Linked DNA regions of Daphnia pulex. The protein of the gene in region 1 purifies or fractionates together with the protein of each later gene. This does not show direct contact. Links are inferred from orthologs where the notes say so. Each region holds a gene or a part of one and is shown on either strand. Other genes may lie near its edges.

Evidence for each region.
Region 2: the proteins of cleavage and polyadenylation specificity factor 73-like (region 1) and pre-mRNA 3' end processing protein WDR33-like purify together in Homo sapiens (affinity purification with mass spectrometry; 5 studies listed by BioGRID and IntAct, with this or other methods). This does not show direct contact. The link is inferred for Daphnia pulex from reciprocal best matches to the Homo sapiens genes CPSF3 and WDR33.

Annotation. Positions count from the first base shown.
Region 1 is NC_060024.1:9,769,971-9,779,722, reverse strand, and holds cleavage and polyadenylation specificity factor 73-like, read right to left. Parts: upstream 5,733-9,752; 5' UTR 5,666-5,732; coding exon 5,598-5,665; intron 5,523-5,597; coding exon 5,459-5,522; intron 5,377-5,458; coding exon 5,279-5,376; intron 5,211-5,278; coding exon 5,087-5,210; intron 5,025-5,086; coding exon 4,752-5,024; intron 4,686-4,751; coding exon 4,535-4,685; intron 4,470-4,534; coding exon 4,381-4,469; intron 4,315-4,380; coding exon 4,228-4,314; intron 4,157-4,227; coding exon 4,027-4,156; intron 3,958-4,026; coding exon 3,629-3,957; intron 3,565-3,628; coding exon 3,456-3,564; intron 3,390-3,455; coding exon 3,193-3,389; intron 3,132-3,192; coding exon 3,006-3,131; intron 2,949-3,005; coding exon 2,826-2,948; intron 2,771-2,825; coding exon 2,669-2,770; 3' UTR 2,623-2,668; downstream 1-2,622. Other genes in the region: 28S ribosomal protein S9, mitochondrial-like, read right to left, coding at 8-111, 166-322, 387-437; 3-ketoacyl-CoA thiolase, mitochondrial-like, read left to right, coding at 881-1,148, 1,210-1,259, 1,327-1,494, 1,559-1,679, 1,747-1,847, 1,914-2,048, 2,104-2,375, 2,435-2,519; hemicentin-1-like, read right to left, coding at 7,984-8,168, 8,243-8,350, 8,432-8,584, 8,870-9,013, 9,398-9,451, 9,562-9,636. UniProt on the Homo sapiens protein: Component of the cleavage and polyadenylation specificity factor (CPSF) complex that plays a key role in pre-mRNA 3'-end formation, recognizing the AAUAAA signal sequence and interacting with poly(A) polymerase and other factors to bring about cleavage and poly(A) addition.
Region 2 is NC_060018.1:834,104-842,070, reverse strand, and holds pre-mRNA 3' end processing protein WDR33-like, read left to right. Parts: upstream 1-1,265; 5' UTR 1,266-1,416; exon of another isoform or gene 1,417-1,591; intron 1,592-1,657; 5' UTR 1,658-1,683; coding exon 1,684-2,004; intron 2,005-2,155; coding exon 2,156-2,287; intron 2,288-2,364; coding exon 2,365-2,502; intron 2,503-2,587; coding exon 2,588-2,739; intron 2,740-3,233; coding exon 3,234-3,331; intron 3,332-3,396; coding exon 3,397-3,757; intron 3,758-3,832; coding exon 3,833-4,812; intron 4,813-4,871; coding exon 4,872-5,054; intron 5,055-5,120; coding exon 5,121-5,288; intron 5,289-5,351; coding exon 5,352-5,815; 3' UTR 5,816-5,929; downstream 5,930-7,967. Other genes in the region: uncharacterized protein LOC124188867, read left to right, coding at 1-154, 220-459; 4-trimethylaminobutyraldehyde dehydrogenase A-like, read right to left, coding at 6,003-6,222, 6,282-6,508, 6,575-6,763, 6,821-6,948, 7,021-7,120, 7,182-7,313, 7,378-7,674, 7,727-7,967. UniProt on the Homo sapiens protein: Essential for both cleavage and polyadenylation of pre-mRNA 3' ends.

The DNA.
Region 1 (9,752 bases):
ATATTACATTAACATCATGCTGAGTGAAGAATTCAGGGTCTTTTCCCATCATGTTTGCCAAATGTCGTTTCCCAATATTATACTGGTGTAATTGCTCCTTGATGAAATTATCTAACAAATTCAGAGATAAACAAAATTCTATTAAGCAATAATTTAAATGTTTACCATGAATTTTTGCACGCTCCATGTATGATTTCATTGCTTTGCTCATCCGCTTCGTATCGCTCTCCTCAAAATCCAATTTCTGAACATTTGAACTTGCATTGTTGGGACTAAGAGATGAATATTGAAAAGCGGGAGAAGAACAAAAATAAGATCTAACCTAAATTATACAACATTAATAATTTCGTAGAATTTGTAATAAATCATATAATGGAAATATATACCCCCCGAAAGCACTTGGAGTTGAAAATCAACACTTCCCTTAGAGCAGCCATGTGTATCTTGTCTCTGGATTGTTTCTAAAGTAAAAAATATCGACTGGTTTGCACAAGCCCCGCCTTCATTTAGGAGAGACGGTTGTCAGACAACAACCATTTATTTTAAACAAATGTAATTTTTGGAGGTTAGTTTGGATTTGGAATTGGAATTTTTAAATTTCAGTTTTGTGTATGAATTTTTCTGTTTCGTGAAATTTAAAAATTACGAATTACAACTTACAAGTTACAACTTACAACTTTATGCCAACTAGGTCAACGCTAGTCTGCTACGATATCTCGTACTCGTTTACCATACCATATACGTCTTACTCATTGTATATAGACGTAAAAGACGTTATCAAAGTAGAATCGAATACTCTGCTTTCATAGTCGGTCAACCCTTAATAAGGTATCTACGTTTAATCTGCTATCTTCCGTTCTCAACCTAATTTTCGTTCAGAATGGCTTCATTAACACGCGGAATCTTCATCGTCGGTGCCAAGAGAACTCCGTTCGGTACTTTTGGAGGAAAATTGGCCGGCAAGACTTGCGTTGATTTGCAAGAAATTGCTGCCAAGGCTGCACTCTCTGCCGCCAAAGTCAATCCAGAGCTTGTAGATTCCGTTATTATTGGAAATGTCTTGAGTTGCTCTTCAGTGGATGCACCCTACATTTCTAGGCATGTTTCACTTCGATGTGGCATTCCTATTCCTACCCCAGCATTGACAGGTAAAATCAACATATTTTAATAGCATTTACACATTATTAACCAGACAAAAATTATTTCTAGTCAACCGTCTGTGTGGCTCTGGTTTCCAGTCAGTTATTAATGGCGCACATGTAACACAAATAATTCCACACCATAAAAATGACAGGAAATTTCATTCAATTGCATTTGGTATTACAGGATATTTTGATGGGAGATTCTCAAATTGTTTTGGCTGGTGGTTCAGATTCCATGAGCCAAGCTCCCTACGCTGTTAGAGGTATTCGCTTTGGAACCAAACTTGGAGTTGATATTAAGTTGGAAGACATGATGTGGGCTGCCCTAACTGACTTCCATTGCAAGACCCCTGTAATTATATTTCCTTTTGTTTGTTTGTTTCTTATCAGTTTTTTATTGTTGCAATTATTTTTAGATGGGAATTACTGCTGAGAATTTAGCTGAGAAATATAACATCACACGAGAAGAGGTTGACAAGTTTGCTCTCAGATCTCAGTTGAATTGGAAAGCTGCTCATGAAAATGGAAATTTCAAAGGTAATTAAAATTTGCATATCTCAGAATGTATACATAGATAATTTTATCTTTTTTTTTTATTTTACAGCTGAATTGGCTCCTGTATCTTTGGAAATTAAAAAGAAACCTGTTTCTTTTGACACTGATGAACATCCGCGCGTGCAAACTACCATGGAAATGTTGGCCAAGGTACTACAACTCCATAAAAGATATGATTCCAATGTTTCTATATCTAATTTCTGATACTTAAACTAGCTGCCTCCCGTCTTCAAGAAAAATGGAACTGTTACTGCTGGTACAGCATCAGGCATTTGTGATGGTGCTGGAGCCATCATATTGGCCAGCGAAGAAGCATGCAAACTTCATAATCTGACGCCATTGGCTCGTTTGGTATACAAAATCTTTACACTTTTAATGAATACATCATTAATTGTTTTATTTGTAGGTTGGTTATGGTATTGCTGGTGTTGAACCCACTATCATGGGAATCGGACCAGCACCTGCCATTCGTAAAGTATTGGCTAAAGCTAATTTGCAGCTGAAGGATATTGGTGCAGTTGAAATCAACGAAGCCTTCGCGGCTCAGACTATTGCTTGCCAACGTGAACTTGATTTGGATCCTGAAGTCCTTAACGTCAATGGTGGTGCCATCGCTCTTGGTCATCCTCTTGGAGCTTCCGGCTCGCGCATTACCGCGCATTTGGTTCACGAATTGGGGTAATTAATTTTCTTTGATGCGTTGAACCATATGCTAATTATTTTACTTTTATCATTAGACGTCGCAAACTGAAATATGCTATCGGATCGGCTTGTATTGGTGGTGGTCAAGGAGTAGCTCTTCTTCTTGAGGGCATGAATTAATCGGTTGTTACTTCGTGCGGGGCAATATTAGTGCGAAGACTTTGATTTTTAAGAAATCACAATCCAGTAACAATGCAAAAAATATATGGATGGATTATAAAAATACTTTAGCAGTTGTTTATTCTTCCATTATTAAATATCAATACAAGTTATTTTACTTTTTCTGCTTTTGGTGCCAAAGATTGATATAATTTAAGTACAGCCGTTTGAACCACTTGTTGAAATCCAACATCTTCAGGACATTCCACCTCCTTTAATAAAAAAGAATTTAGATTTTTATAAGAAAACGGTAATTTTAGACGTTACCAATGCTGTGAGATCTATATTGGCTCTTTTTCCGTCAACGGTAACAATGAATTTATCTCCTTTGAACATTTTTGGAACCGCATCATCTCCAAACATATCTTGAAGCATTTCTATCAAGCATTCCTATATAAATTCACACGTTTAGACCGATATTATTCTCAAACAAATAAAATTTAGTACCTTGAAGCGGGCATGATCAACAGTCGTGGGTAGCACAATCGTCCTCGAACCTTGAAGAGATTCGCACTTTAAGATAGCTGAAAGCACTGCGTCAGCGAACATGTCGTTCACAGAATCAGCCGCCCACTAAACAAATCAAATATTAAACATTAAAGAAGTGGTCTTCACAAATCATTAAGATGCGTACTTCTAATGTAACCAGAGTTTTATCAACAATGACATCAATGGCAGAGAAAAGGCGAAATGTTTTTAGTCCTTTGTCGCTCTCGATAACTTCGACGTCAGGCGAAACGTGAGACAGGACAGCTTGTAACGTTTGCAGATTCCCGCTGTAGTGGATACCCATCCTTTGAGTTACGCTGCTTACAGTCATGTCTGTGTATTCTGCAATTCAAAAAAATTGGGTACTAAAGTTATAGAAATTAAGACTTGAATAAAAATTGTTGGTACTCGAAATATCCGACGGCGCCACAATTTGGTATTTGAAGTTTCGTTTGACCAAGACACCAGAAATGATTTGGCCTTCGACTGGTTTTTCAAACGCCAGAGATCCCATCACCTAGACAACAAGGCGTTAGAATAAAATTCATTGGGTGAATCGCTTTTACGATTTTTTAAATTACTTTGGCCGTTTTTTCGCCCTTGAAATGGAGTTCTACTGCCGCAGTGTTACGTGGATTGTATATACGGATTTGAGTGTCTGGATCATGTTCATACTCTCGGATGAGCGCCGCTTTGAGTCGGTTCATCTCGTTGGCCTCGCCGTGAACCAAAACGACATGAGGTGGCTTCAGCAAACGAATAAATTCACTGGTCTGTTGGTAGTCAGTGTGAGCGGAGAATGAAATGTAGTCAACTGAAAGCTTCATTGGTAGCTTCTGGCCAGCCATGCTGGTAATATCTTCCGGTTCTGACAAAACATGTTTTGCCAATGTTCCTTCAACACAGTACCCTTTTACGACAACAAAAATAAACGTGAACAACTAATTATATAAAAATTAAAACATTTCTTTCCACTGACCTGCGATGATGCAACCGTTTTTAGGATCTGTGCACCAAGCTTCGAAGAGTTCGCGAGATAGACCACTCTGCATCATACCGGGAGAGGCCATAATTACACAAGGGCCAACGTCTTCGAACTGATCGATACCCTGGGGAATGACAATACATTGCGTTGAATAAAGGACCATTTTATAACAGGTTATTTCAAATATTATTGTACCTTGAGACTAGAGATGTGCTTGAAGATGAAAGGATTATTGATGGCAATCTGCCGCCGAATTTTGTCGTTCATGGCATTGATATAAGTCTGCAAGAATAGAGAACCAATTAAAGTTTGATGCGATCGCTGCGAGATTTTGAATTTGATTAGTACCTGGTACACGGCCATACACTTTTGTGCAAGCGACGAGGCATAGTAGATGGGAATCTCGTGAAGTTCGGGATGCAGGCTCCAATATTCATCTAAAAGCCAATTAAAACTGATTGGAAGTTTTCTTATGCAAAAAATTACTTCTAATACCTAATACCTAGAATGAGAAGCAATTCTTGTGCTCGACCCAGTGCAAAGACCGGGATCAGACATCTGCCACCTCTATTGACAATTTCGTGGATCAGACCTGTGAAACGGCTTTCTCGATCTTCGCGCTTCTCGTGGATGTGAGTTCCGTAAGTGGATTCCTTCGAGAATAAAACAGATTATCACATGGACATATTTCGCCTTGAAATACTTCAAGCTTAACTCACGGTGATTAGGATATCGGGTCGAACAGTAGGAATCTCAGCGGCCATCAAATGTCTGTCTTCCTGTCGGGAAAAGTCCCCAGTGTAAAGCACTTTCACGCCGGCAATTTCAATCATGAACATAGCGGCGCCCAGAACATGGCCTGCGTTGTAAGCCCAGAAACGAACTCCACCAACATCCTTCTCTTCGTGAAAGTTGATAACTTCAATCTTTTCCATGGATGCCTCCAGATCTGCCTCTGTGTAGAGCATTTGATCTGTGGAAATGTTGCTGACCTGTTGGAAATATTACTTGTGAGCACTGCATCGACTAAAACTCAAATGCCTTTTTTTCTTACTTTAATATAATCAGAGAGCAGCCAACGGTAAATTGCTTTTGTGGCATGTGTCATGAAGCACCGTCCCTTGAATGTTGTTTTCTGTAAAAACCATGGAAGTGCCCCACAGTGATCCAAATGGAAACTATTGAAAAATACAATTGTACATTAGCTATTGACAATAAAACTTAAGAAAACAAAACCAAAACTCACTGTGAAATGAGTAACAAGTCAATTTGATCTGCTTCAATCAAATCAACGAAAGGCAGTGCATCCATTCCCGATAAACCTGGATGAATTCCACAATCCAGCTAGAAAATGAAAAACATAATCAATGAAATGCCCACATTCAATGGCGATTCAACTCTGTACAACAAAAACACGTTTGTTTACCATGATTTTCTTGCCCTTGAATTCGAGCATGATACATGATCGACCAACTTCTTGTCCGGCTCCCCTGAAAAGTAATGTAATAAAAAACACCCGTGAATTTTCCAAATACAAATTAAAAGTCAATTGACATTATATTTACAATGGCCTAATAACCAATAAATCACTTTCTTCGGCCGGGACCTGTACGTCATTTTTACGTTTAGCCATTTTGTCTTTTGTTTTTCTTGGGTCTACAAGCTGTTGCCAGGTAAACTTTTATGTCCACTCCGCGAGTTGACACATCACATCCGCTTTCGCCTTTTTTACTTTGATAAAATCATAAAAATATTACGTAGTATACATTTATTAATTATGCAATCTACGCCGTGAAGTTTTATGGCATTTAGAATTTGATATATTTTTTCGGGGTCGATGATTTAAGATATTAACGGACTGACGGCGTTTTTACTATTCAATCTCGACTTTTTTGTCCACGGGTTTTAAAATTCGTGAAACTCTACTCGATTTGAGAAATGGTGGCATAAATAACCGATGATTATGCGTGGGAATGAAGCACCTGCACCGAAAGCTACACACGAGATGGTTTCAAGTCTCTGCCAAGAGTGGCGGAGTCTAAAAGAAGCAGCGATCCCAGATGAGGTAAAAATGTAGACCCAAAAAGCGACCGGCAAACTGTTCGTTCGTGAAATGTCAAGAAGATTCTCCTTTTATAACTTTTGATTATATCAACTTCACCATTTGGTCTTTCTGCAGTAACTCGTCAAGCTCGTACACACACACGGTGTAGCTATAGGTTGGGCCGAGTTTCCATGAAGTTTTACTAGGATGCATGTAACATGATTGTTTCATGAATCACGATTATGAACCTCCAGTGCATCGAGCACGGTATATGTGGGCCAGGTATACATATACATGTGTGTGTGTAAGCTATAAAGTTCACGTTTGTCTCCCTGCAGTTGACAATAAATTTTGGCGAAAAATATCCAGCGAAAAAACAAGACATTGAAACGCATTTCCTACGTGACAGCACATTATTCGCTGATACGGAAAACAATTGAACGTGGGAGCTGTGTCGAGTGTGGGTAGTTTTTTCCTATTAAATATCAAAGCGTCTTCATAATTTCTTAGTGCAAACGCACACACACACCCACACCTGCACACAGACACACGGTTGCGTGCAAGCAAGCAATCGCACCGCAGGCTCCGCGAGCGGATTTCTCGGCTGATTCTAATTGCATAACATTTGTCTGGCCGATTTGAGAGAGTCATCGCCGTCTTTATCGAACCTTGGCGCACATCCCTCCGGACAGAATAAACGTGTATATAAATAAACTTGCTGCTCTATTGGATAGACGTATATACAAGGAGAAGAAGGAACCTGTTCCGTTTCCCACTATTACGAATTCACCTGCCTTTAACGCGGCCGTCCGTCCGTCCGGAGATGCCTCGTGCCAGAAGACTGTCAGTCGGTTGTCATGGCGGCGTATAGATGTGAACACACCTGTCCTTCTACACGAGATCACTATCATCCGCTCATCCGGAAATTAAAAGTTAAAAAAAAGTTTTTATCAAAAAGAACGTTCGAAATCGATTGGAAATTTCGAGGAAATTTCAAATCTTTGAAAAAGTGAACAAAACTGTCAACAGCATTGAAAGTGAATAATACAGTATAGCACGCATACGTCATCTCTCTGGCTGCCTTTTGGAGAGAGAGAGATTTCCAAAACGTTGGAGAGAGCCGATTCCGGATGATAATATTTTCCAGCCCCCCCCATATTTATATAAGCGGATTTGCCCAGTTTTGTCCACTTGGCGCCAGACACGAACACAAATCTAAATCTATCGATATCCAGCAGGACCATGTTGTAGTAGTTTTACTTGCTCATGTGCTGATCCGGCTTATTATATATTCGGGAATCTAAAAAAAAATAAATAAATAATTCGAAATAAAAGTAAAAACATTTGAGGCACGCTATAAGTCGCTTCACACACGCTTGTATTTTGAATCTATTTTCTTTTTATTTTTGCACAAAAACATATACACACATACACATTCACAAAAAAAAAGAACTTTCTTTCCTTTTTCTTCTTATAGTGTACTGAGTTTAGTATATTATATTTGATATTGATATTTATTACAGTCGGCAGACGATCGTGTTTGGGAGAAATCCATCGGCTTTTGTGCTCTACAATATGCCATGGGGGGGATTTGAATATAAATTGATTTTTAATTTATGTCTTTGGTAAAAATTCGCGGTCAATTCATTATGCACACAATAACATCTTCGAGGGACGAGTATATAGAGAGAGAGCGACATTGAAAGCACATGATCGTTTTTTTCCCCTTCAATTTAGTGTCATCAAGTCAAATTTAATAGATAGCATGTTCGATCAAGGATAAACGCAGGTAAAATAAATAATAATAATAACGAGGCCAAACGATGAGAAGAGCATATAAATATAATCGAGAGTCTGGGAGGGGGTTATTACATGGATGAAAAACGAGCTCTAGAAAAGGTGGAACACTATCTCGTTTTTGTCATCGAGACTAGGAGCAGAGAAATGGCCGCTAGCAGGTAACCGAGAGGAGGTGACTGCGAGGCTGCAACAGCAGATGAGCTGGACCGCCCGCCGACGGCCAATTGAGTCTTGGCGGAAGCCTGTTTATTGGCTGCCAATCTCTTGGTGGACGAGTCGTCCTTGGATTTCTCTGCGTACAACCAGACAACATTCATCGATCCTATTGTACAACCACAATAACATGTATATATATGTATTACTAACCATCCCAGGTGCTGCTAAGCTGTTCTTTTCCCGTTCCACGGCCGTCCTGCTGGTCGGCTTCCGAGTAAACTTCGTTCATGTCTCCATCGTCAGCCACCGGATGGATTTCTTCCCAATAAAAAAATCAAATAAAATTCTTGAATTGAACATTTTAAAAATAATAAAAATCGAAATTCAATCGAGACGTACGGTAAAGTCGGACGACCGAATCGGCAATGCCCAGCGTATTGCGACAGACGCACTGGTAGGCCATAAAGTCTTCGCGTTCCAGGTGGAGAAAGACGAGCTGCATGGAGACCTTGTAGTGGTTCGTCTCTCGCTTCTCCTCGCGATGTTTGACACCTAATCAAATATGAATTGCGTTTCACATATATACTGTCGGTCGGTCGGTCGGGGGGTCATACGACACACCCTCCTCCGCCCGGAATGATTTCTTGCAACGACAGAAGGTCTCATTCACATGTGACGTCAAAAACACAATGTCGTCAAAATTTATTTCCTCCCCAATCGAAATGGGGAGGAAATAAACGAACTACTAGCCAGATTTATGGACGTCTTAAATTGGAGAGTAGTAAGGCAGTTGCCATTTCTAAAATGTACGTCTGCATGTTGGTCTATATACGTTACCGTTGACGACGACATCTCCGGTGCTGTGCCTTAGCCAGTAGACCACCGGCTTGGGGAAGGACTCGCAATGGCACTCTAATGTGATGTTAATGTCTCCTTGCCGAGCCCCGACCAGTTGATTGGTCGCCGTGACGCTTGGCGGGACTAACGATTCCCAAAAAAGAAGAAGAAGAAGAAAAAAAGGTTGGACTCTCTCGTGTAACATATATATATAGCCGATGGATCATTAACGTTTCGACTTTCGGTTGAATCGTCCAGACGACTACACTATACTACACTCTCTATACTGTAAAGCTATATTGGGTGTGCGTGTCTATGAGCGGGAGGTGTGTGCGTGAGAGCGAAACGAAACGAAACGAAAAAAAAAGGGAAACGAAACACAACATAGTCACGTTCAATCGATGGCAGTCGAAAAACTCTGATTTTTTCAGCCGATTGTCCATCGCGTCGCATCGAGAGACTCTCCCGCTCATGACAGATGGAAAAAGAAAAAGGGCAATTTTGTTTTTCCCGATAGGTTTGACTTACACTGAACTCGCAACATGAACCTTTTGGACACACTGGGAGGAACTCCGTTGGACGCTGCAGTTTAAAAAAAGAAAAATTCAATGAATAACTGAAATTTAGAAAGCTTTATGTTTCTTTCTCCCTTCATAGGGGACATGGGAGAATAGTTGATGTATATAAGTTACCTATGCACAGGTAAGCTCCGATATTCTGCCGGGGTATTCGGGTTAAATGCAGCACCGATCCTTCGACTGTCACGGCTATAATCAAATTTGAGACCGTAGAGAGTAATCTGTATAGGCATATACTACTACTTCTACTACTCGGGGTAAATAATTCAATTTCAGACAAGAAGAAAAGAAAAGAAAAAAAATAC
Region 2 (7,967 bases), on another chromosome or scaffold:
ACAAGAAAGTGATCAATTCAGAAAACAGCAGCAATCAACCAACACAGTGCCGGAATGGATTGCTCAAAGCGCGTTTATCTTATTCACGCTTGGTGTTGTCATGCTACTGGGAACCTTTTGTTACTGCTGCTTTTTTGCGCATCTCCTCAGACGCGTAAGCATAATGAAACATAATTTCTAATTGGATAACTTTGATAACCTTCCGTTCTCTGGCTGAAGCAGAATAAAGAAATCAAAACGGACCTACCGCCCAGCTACGAACAGCTTGTCAGAAATAGCTACGTCATCGTGCAACCTTCACTGCTAAATGACTATCATCTTGTAAAAGGCGACAAACCAGAGGAATCCTGTACCATCAATTTGGATTCCGATACAGGAGCGAACAACATTTCAGACATTTATAGATCTGACAACGACGAAGTTCGTTTACCGCTTAGATATGAAACGGAAACTGCGTGAGTAAAATCTATAACGAGTGGACAGATGAAGCTGGTGTTACTGTAATATCCAGCCTAACAACTTCTGTAAATATTGTATAAATACGTATATTTATTAACAACACTTTTCCCTAAAAAGAGTAAAAGCGTTTCTTTGAGCTAATTGCTGTGTGAATTAGCTCAAACTTTCTCTTGGCATGGAACTGTTATGTACATAATTCAAATAAACCGTTAAATTTTGTCGAACTGATTTCCTGTTTAAGGTGTTTCAGTTTTGTGTCGGGATTACAATTCGTCTTCGAACCGCACGACTTGCACGAAAAATAAAAATAAAAATAAAAAGATACAGGATAACGAGTTGACTTTAGAAACTCGTCTGGTCACCTTTGTTTGGATTGTTGAGGTGAACAGGTATTGATTATCAATAGTGCTATGTCCAATCTCGATACACGTTATCACATTTTTCTAACTCGTTGTTGTAATAAAAAAAAACGGATAATAGATCTGATCTAACATAAATAGAATCAGAAAAAATGATATAACATTATATTTGTTCTTCGAGAGTATCGAGACCGTAAACATACCGTCGGTTTATTATATAGTACCAAAAAGGATAACACGCAATCCCTTCTTTTCTTTTTTGAGTTTTTTCCTTTCAAGTTTCAACGATTACCGATTACGAACCATTCTTCAGCGCTATTTCAACGTAAAATTTGTGAATTTTTTGTTATTATTAAATTTTTTATCGTTATCAAATTATACTTTTCCCAGAATTATTTAAATTATTTATATTTTTTAAAATTTGGTTTATTGATTGATAATTTCAATCAATCGAATATTTGAATTTTATTGTTTTCTTCTTTCTGTCGGATCGAGAGATACCTACGTTTGATATGGCAACTAGGCAATGCCTTATGCCGCAGCCAAACATTGCAAAATGGCGCTGAGCAGGCAACAGAACATCTCTTGAACATTTTAGGTGAGTGCATTTTTTATCGGGGATTTACAGACTTATATCATCAGCGCCGATTGTCGGCATTGATCGAAAATTTAAATGTAAATTTTTAAGTACTTATTTCACTTAAAATCTGTGGAAATTGGGCGTTTTCATTTTCTGACGAAACAAGTAGTTGACGTGCGGTGTGCACATAACGGTTTCTCTCATGTTTACATAAACTTGTTCTTCAATTAACTAAAATTTTTTATTGTCTTTTTTTCAGCTATTTAACTAATTATTATCAGAAAAATGGCAACCCAAATGGCATATTATCCTGGTGCCAATGGCATGAATCAGTCACCATTTCAATCGAGGCATGCCACTGGCCCCAGCCAGAGCCCTGCAAATGCAGGAAATAATTCTTTCCTTGGAGCAGGATTACCTAGGATTGTTCCAGGAAGTGAACCATTGAGACCACCAATTCCACCTGGTCGCCACATGTTTCATCCCTTCAATAGACCATACCCTAAGCCTGGCCAAGATCGGTCAGACTATGATTCCAAACAGTTGCGCAAGAGCTCAATGCGCAAAACTGTAGATTATTACTCTTCAGTGATTCGTATGCTAGAGGTAAATTGAGAAGCTTGTAAATACAAGGATTGCCTTTCTTCTCTTGTAGTTAGAACATGTTTATATTTTTAATATTTCCTTTAATTTATATGTTCAGAGTTTTATCAAATACAATTTGTATTTATATAGTATTATCTTGACTTAAATTTAGACAAGAGTCTGGCAGCGGGACGCCAGAGACAGGCGAAGTCTTCAACCCGACGTGTGTTATTATCCAGAAATGGTTCCTCCCTCTTGCTATTTGGATACGCCCAGCAATGCCATAACAACACGTTTTACTAAAGTAATGCATTATAGATGGAAAGCCCGATTTTGAATTATTCTATTTATCTTTTTTTTTCTTTGAATTTACCTCGAAAGGTGGCAACAAATAAAATTCGTTGTCCAGTATTTTGCCTTACTTGGACTCCTGAAGGCCGTCGTTTAATCACAGGGGCATCAAGCGGCGAGTTTACCCTGTGGAACGGCCTGACGTTCAATTTTGAAACTATTTTACAGGTATGAAAAATCCGTAAATAGTACTCCTAAGAAATAACACGGTAACGAGTAATTATTAATCTAATCCTTCTTACCCTTTAAATAGGCTCACGACAGTCCGGTCCGTAGCATGGTATGGTCCCACAACGATATCTGGATGGTGACGGGGGACCATGGCGGCTACATCAAATACTGGCAGTCAAATATGAATAACGTCAAGATGTTTCAAGCTCACAAAGAAGCCATTCGGGGCATCAGGTATTGAAACCAAAACCAAACCAAAATAAAAATCAAATTTCATTGCTGTGATACGTATAACCTCCGAACTTTTCCCAATCTTTTCTTCTATAAATGCTCATTGCCCAATAATACAAGTACGCTTGAAAGTAAAAGAGAAAAAAAAAGAAAATCCTACATACCAAGAACAACTGATCTGTGATAGATGCAACTGAGGAAAATAAAAGAGACTTCTTTTTCAACCCTCTATACGATTTTGAAGTAAAACATTTTATACGATTCGTTTATGAAACTCTGCGCACCCGATATTGCCTAATTGCAATAGGCGTATACGAGATCGAAATACTTGTCGGGACTTACGGTTAACTTTTCAAATGACCCATACTTTTCTACCCCAATTAAACTTCTTTTATCCACAAAGTCAACATTTTCAATTAATCTACCTTGACGATTATAAAACCATTTTAAGGGTATTCAATTACAATTAAAGACCCTCCACGTTTTTGTGTATCCAGTTTTAGTCCAACGGATCAAAAATTGGCCTCTTGCTCCGACGATGGAACTGTGCGAATATGGGATTTTGTCCGCTGTCAGGAGGAAAAAATTCTTCGAGGTACCCAACTAATTGTTTTGTTTTTTCTGCAAGCCTACTTCATGTCCATCAATTGTTTCCATTAGGGCACGGAGCTGATGTCAAATGCGTCGATTGGCACCCGCAAAAGGGTCTAGTCATTTCAGGCAGCAAAGACAACCAGCAACCAGTCAAACTGTGGGATCCCAAATCTGGTCAATCATTAGCTACGCTGCACGCCCATAAAAGCACAGTTATGGACGCAAAATGGAACAAGAACGGCCAGTGGCTCATCACCGCTTCCAGAGATCATTTGATCAAGCTATTTGACATCCGTCGGCTTGATCAAGAATTGCAAACTTTCCGCGGTCACAAGAAGGAAGCATCCTGTCTTTCGTGGCATCCATTTCACGAAGAACTTTTCTGTAGCGGTGGATCTGACGGAGCTATATTCTTCTGGAACGTTGGGTAATTTTGTTTATTAAGTCGTGTATTTTTCAAACCTTACCCTAACTCTTTTTCTGTTTTGCTTTGAAAACATAGAACGGACAAAGAAGTTGGTGCTATCGATCAAGCTCATGAAAGTCTCATTTGGTCTCTTGCCTGGCATCCGATCGGACACATTCTCTGTTCGGGTTCGAATGACCACACGTCAAAGTTCTGGACACGAAACAGACCCGGCGATAAGATGAGGGACAAATACAATCTCAACACGTTACCGCCTGGAGTGATGCCCGAAGACGCCGAGTTGCTGGATGACCATCACGCTCCCAATATCCCAGGAATGGGACCCGAAGACAAAGTGGAAGCAGAAGGCGGAGACGGACAACTCGGTCAGAGTAGCCTCAGTTTATTAAGCGCAGGCATGATTCCTGGTCTGGATGTGGAACCATTAGCACAAGACGTGAAACCCATCAAGAAAGTTCCGTATGCCAAACCAATTCCACGTCACTTCCAGGCACAATGGAATGAGAGCAGTGCTAGTAAGAAACCAGCCATCTTACCCACTCCCAGCCTATCGTCAGCATCGGGTGTACTGTCTGATGAAGAGGATCACGTCCTTGGTGTTGATCCCGTTGCCTTTGGAATGGAACAGTTGGGTCGCGCATCTCTGACCCTGTTCGGCCTACCGGCTAATGATCCAGAGCAGTTGCAAGAATTGCTCGACACGGCTCAGTCGTTGCCTGTTACTCAACTTCCCACTCCGACAGCTGTCATAATCGATGGCACGATACTGTCCATCGAAGCCGATTCAGAGTTAGAGAAAGCCATTCGTACTGGCGAAGAAGAGTTTAATCAGGTTCTATCTTCGATGGGCTTGAAAGTTACTGTTGAGGAGGAGGAGACTAAACCCGAAGTAGTTCCAACTGGCGAGTACAATCAAGATCGAGAATTGGACGACGACGATTTCTATCCGCGCTCTCGAACACCTGTTCTTGACGACTCTCCGGGCTACAACAGGGGTCATTCAGGAATTGGTCCAACACCAACTGGTGGTCTTCTAGGAGACTTCCCTCAGAGAGGTAATTAATTTGCATAAATGATTGTTCTGCTGTTGGCACTGTACTAAATTATTGAATAGTTGTAGAGTTTCAACAGAGGGGCCACCCTGTTCAGCCCATCCGTCATCCGTTACCACCAGGAGCTGGGCAGCAACACCACCACCATCATTTACCGCAACAACAGCAACCGCAACAACAACAGCAGCAGCAACACAATCACCACCATAATCACGGAGGCTGGCAAGGCCAACCTCCACCTCAAGGTTTGATTGAAATAGTCGAAGAAAAATGACGCAACTTGAACTTATCTGTCGGTTATTTATTTTTAGAAATGGGAAATTGGGATCGCCCACCTTTCGAACCACAACAGCAACCAGATCGCTTTCCTCCGCGACCACCTCATAGTCAGGGTCCAATGAATAGACCCTACTTCCAGCCACCGCACCATCAGGACCGATTTAATCAAAGTGGACCTCCACTTCCACCTCCAGGCAGAGGTACGCTCATGGTTTTAAGTTTAAGTAATCTAATGCAAACTAATTATGCGGATGGAAAAACAGGGAGAGGTCATCACGGACCACCAGGTGGAAATCAAGCGTGGGGTGGTCCACCACCATCTATCGATAATGAAGAAGAACTGCATTATATGGGAAATGGAGGACCCCCAATGCAGCCCATTGAAGACGACATGCGGATGGAAGGCGGTTATCCGCCTCCCCCACCTCCACAAATGAGTGATCGGCATGGCGAAGGAAACTTTGGCGGTTGGGGTCCTGGTCCCAACAACTATCGAGGGGGTGGTGAACCTCCCGGCCCTTTTGAAAGAGGCGACGAGGATTACGGTGGTAGGGGACCACCACCAGGTCATTTCGCTCCAAGCTATCCTGGACAATTCCATCCACCACCACCGCATCATCAGCCTCCACCAGGCCGTTGGAATCCAGAAGGCGGAGGTGGACGGGGAGGTTTCGGGAGGGGTGGAGGTGGTCGGCGACCTCGAAGAGGAGGATATAACAACTATTGATGAAAGAATTTCAATGCGACTGATGGATGATTTTGTATCTCTTATTTTCTCGCCATTTTTTATAAAATGTGTACAAAATTGAAAATGAATAATGCTCGCCATGTTCACGACATACCAACTGACTAACTCTAGGACCAAACAAAATTCAAACACCAAAATAAAAGGTCAATCCTCGTTGGACGTTAGCCTATTTGGAATTGTACAAGGGGCAGTCTACATCATTCATTTCAACGTAGACTGACTTCAACTGAGTATAACATTGGATGGCTTCAGTACTGCATTCGACACCGATGCCACTCTGCTTGAACCCACCGAAAGGCAATTCGACTGGTGTGACGTTGAAGTTGTTCACCCAAATTGTACCAGATTGCAAACGGTCCGAAGTTCGGTGTGCTCTTCTCAGGTCTCTGTAAAAGTGTAATCGTTAAGTTTCACAGAAATGAGATTTATTTTAGGTAAACAATACTTTGTAAAAATGCCAGCACTCAATCCGTAAGGAGTTTGATTGGCTCGACGAATAACTTCTTCCTCGGTATCAAACGGCAAAATGGTAGCGACTGGTCCAAAAATTTCTTCTTTTACAACCGTCATGTCGTCATGGCAATTGGTTAGAATGCATGGGGAGATGAAATATCCATTTTGAAAAGGATCGGGCATTTGAATTCGTTCACCACCGCACAGTTTGATGGCTCCCTGTCAGTAAATTAGAAGCGCATTGAAATTAACCAAACTTTCATTTGTATTAGAACATCACTTTACCTCTTCAAGACCTCGCGCTATATAGGCAAGAACTTTTTCAGCATGCGGTTTAGAGATGGTTGCGCCAACTTGAGTTTTGTCGTCAAGGGGATCGCCTATAACTAGTTGAGAAGTAGCTTTTACAAACTCTTTGGTGAATTGTTCAATGATGGAGCGTTGAACAAATACACGAGAACCGTTCGAACAAACCTGGAGCAAAAATAAGTTTAAAACGAGTTCTTGATTGTTTTCTCTCAAGAAATATACCTGTCCTTGAGATAAAAAATTTGCAAGAAGAGCGCCTTTGACAGCGTTTTCAAGGTCGCAGTCGTCGTAGATAATTAGTGGATTCTTTCCACCAAGTTCTAGCATAACTCTCTTCAAGTCATTAGAAGCTAGAAATAAAAGATATTATTGATTGGATTTCAAAAACTTAATACTGAACTTTAGTCCAAAATCATACGTACCGAGCTTCAATATATTTTTCCCGACTGGGACAGATCCCGTAAAAGATATTTTTGCCACATCAGGATGGCAACAAAGATTTTTTCCGGTTTCACCTGAACCCTACGTAAAAAATTCAAAATAAAGAAAATATTGTCAGTTAATTGCTGTGATTTTTACATGCCTGGACCAGGTTGAAAACACCTTCGGGAATTCCAGCTTTGATTGCAAGTTCTGCCAAAGCTAAAGCTGTCAAAGGAGTGAGTTCTGATGGTTTGTAAACAATTGTATTTCCACAAGTCAAAGCAGGAGCCACCTGTTTTTATTTTCAACTCAAATAACTGAACATATTACTTTTATTGATATCAGATTGAACTTACTTTCCAGGAACATGTCTGTAGAGGATAATTCCAAGCACCTATGCCTCCTACAACCCCAAGGCTTTCTCTTTTCACCAATCCAAATGAACTGTTAGGAAGCTGAATGTGCTTCCCACTGACTGTGGAAGCAATCCCACCAAAGTACAGAAAACAATCAGCACAGCTTTGAATGTCCAACCTGGCCTCCCAGATAGGTTTCCCATTGTTTTCCACTTCTAGTTGAGCCAAGGTTTCCTGATTTTCTAATATCTTTTGTCCCAAACTAGATATAAGTTTTCCTCTTTCAAAACCTGATAACTTAGAAGAATTGTCAATAAACATGAATATGAAAATTATGGAAAAATAGTACCAAAGACCATGATTTGTAGGCTTCTTCACATGATTTGACTGCCTTGTCAACGGTATTTGCTCCTGAGACAGCTACTTTTGCTAGAACAACACTGGTTGCAGGATTCAAGACATTTGTAAAGCCAATTGAATCAATAGGATGGGTTTTCTGTCCGTCGACAAAATTATAAGGTCCATCTTTCACAAATAACGTACTAAAATATTTCCGCGATGAAGATTTCGATCTCAAAATACATAGCTTT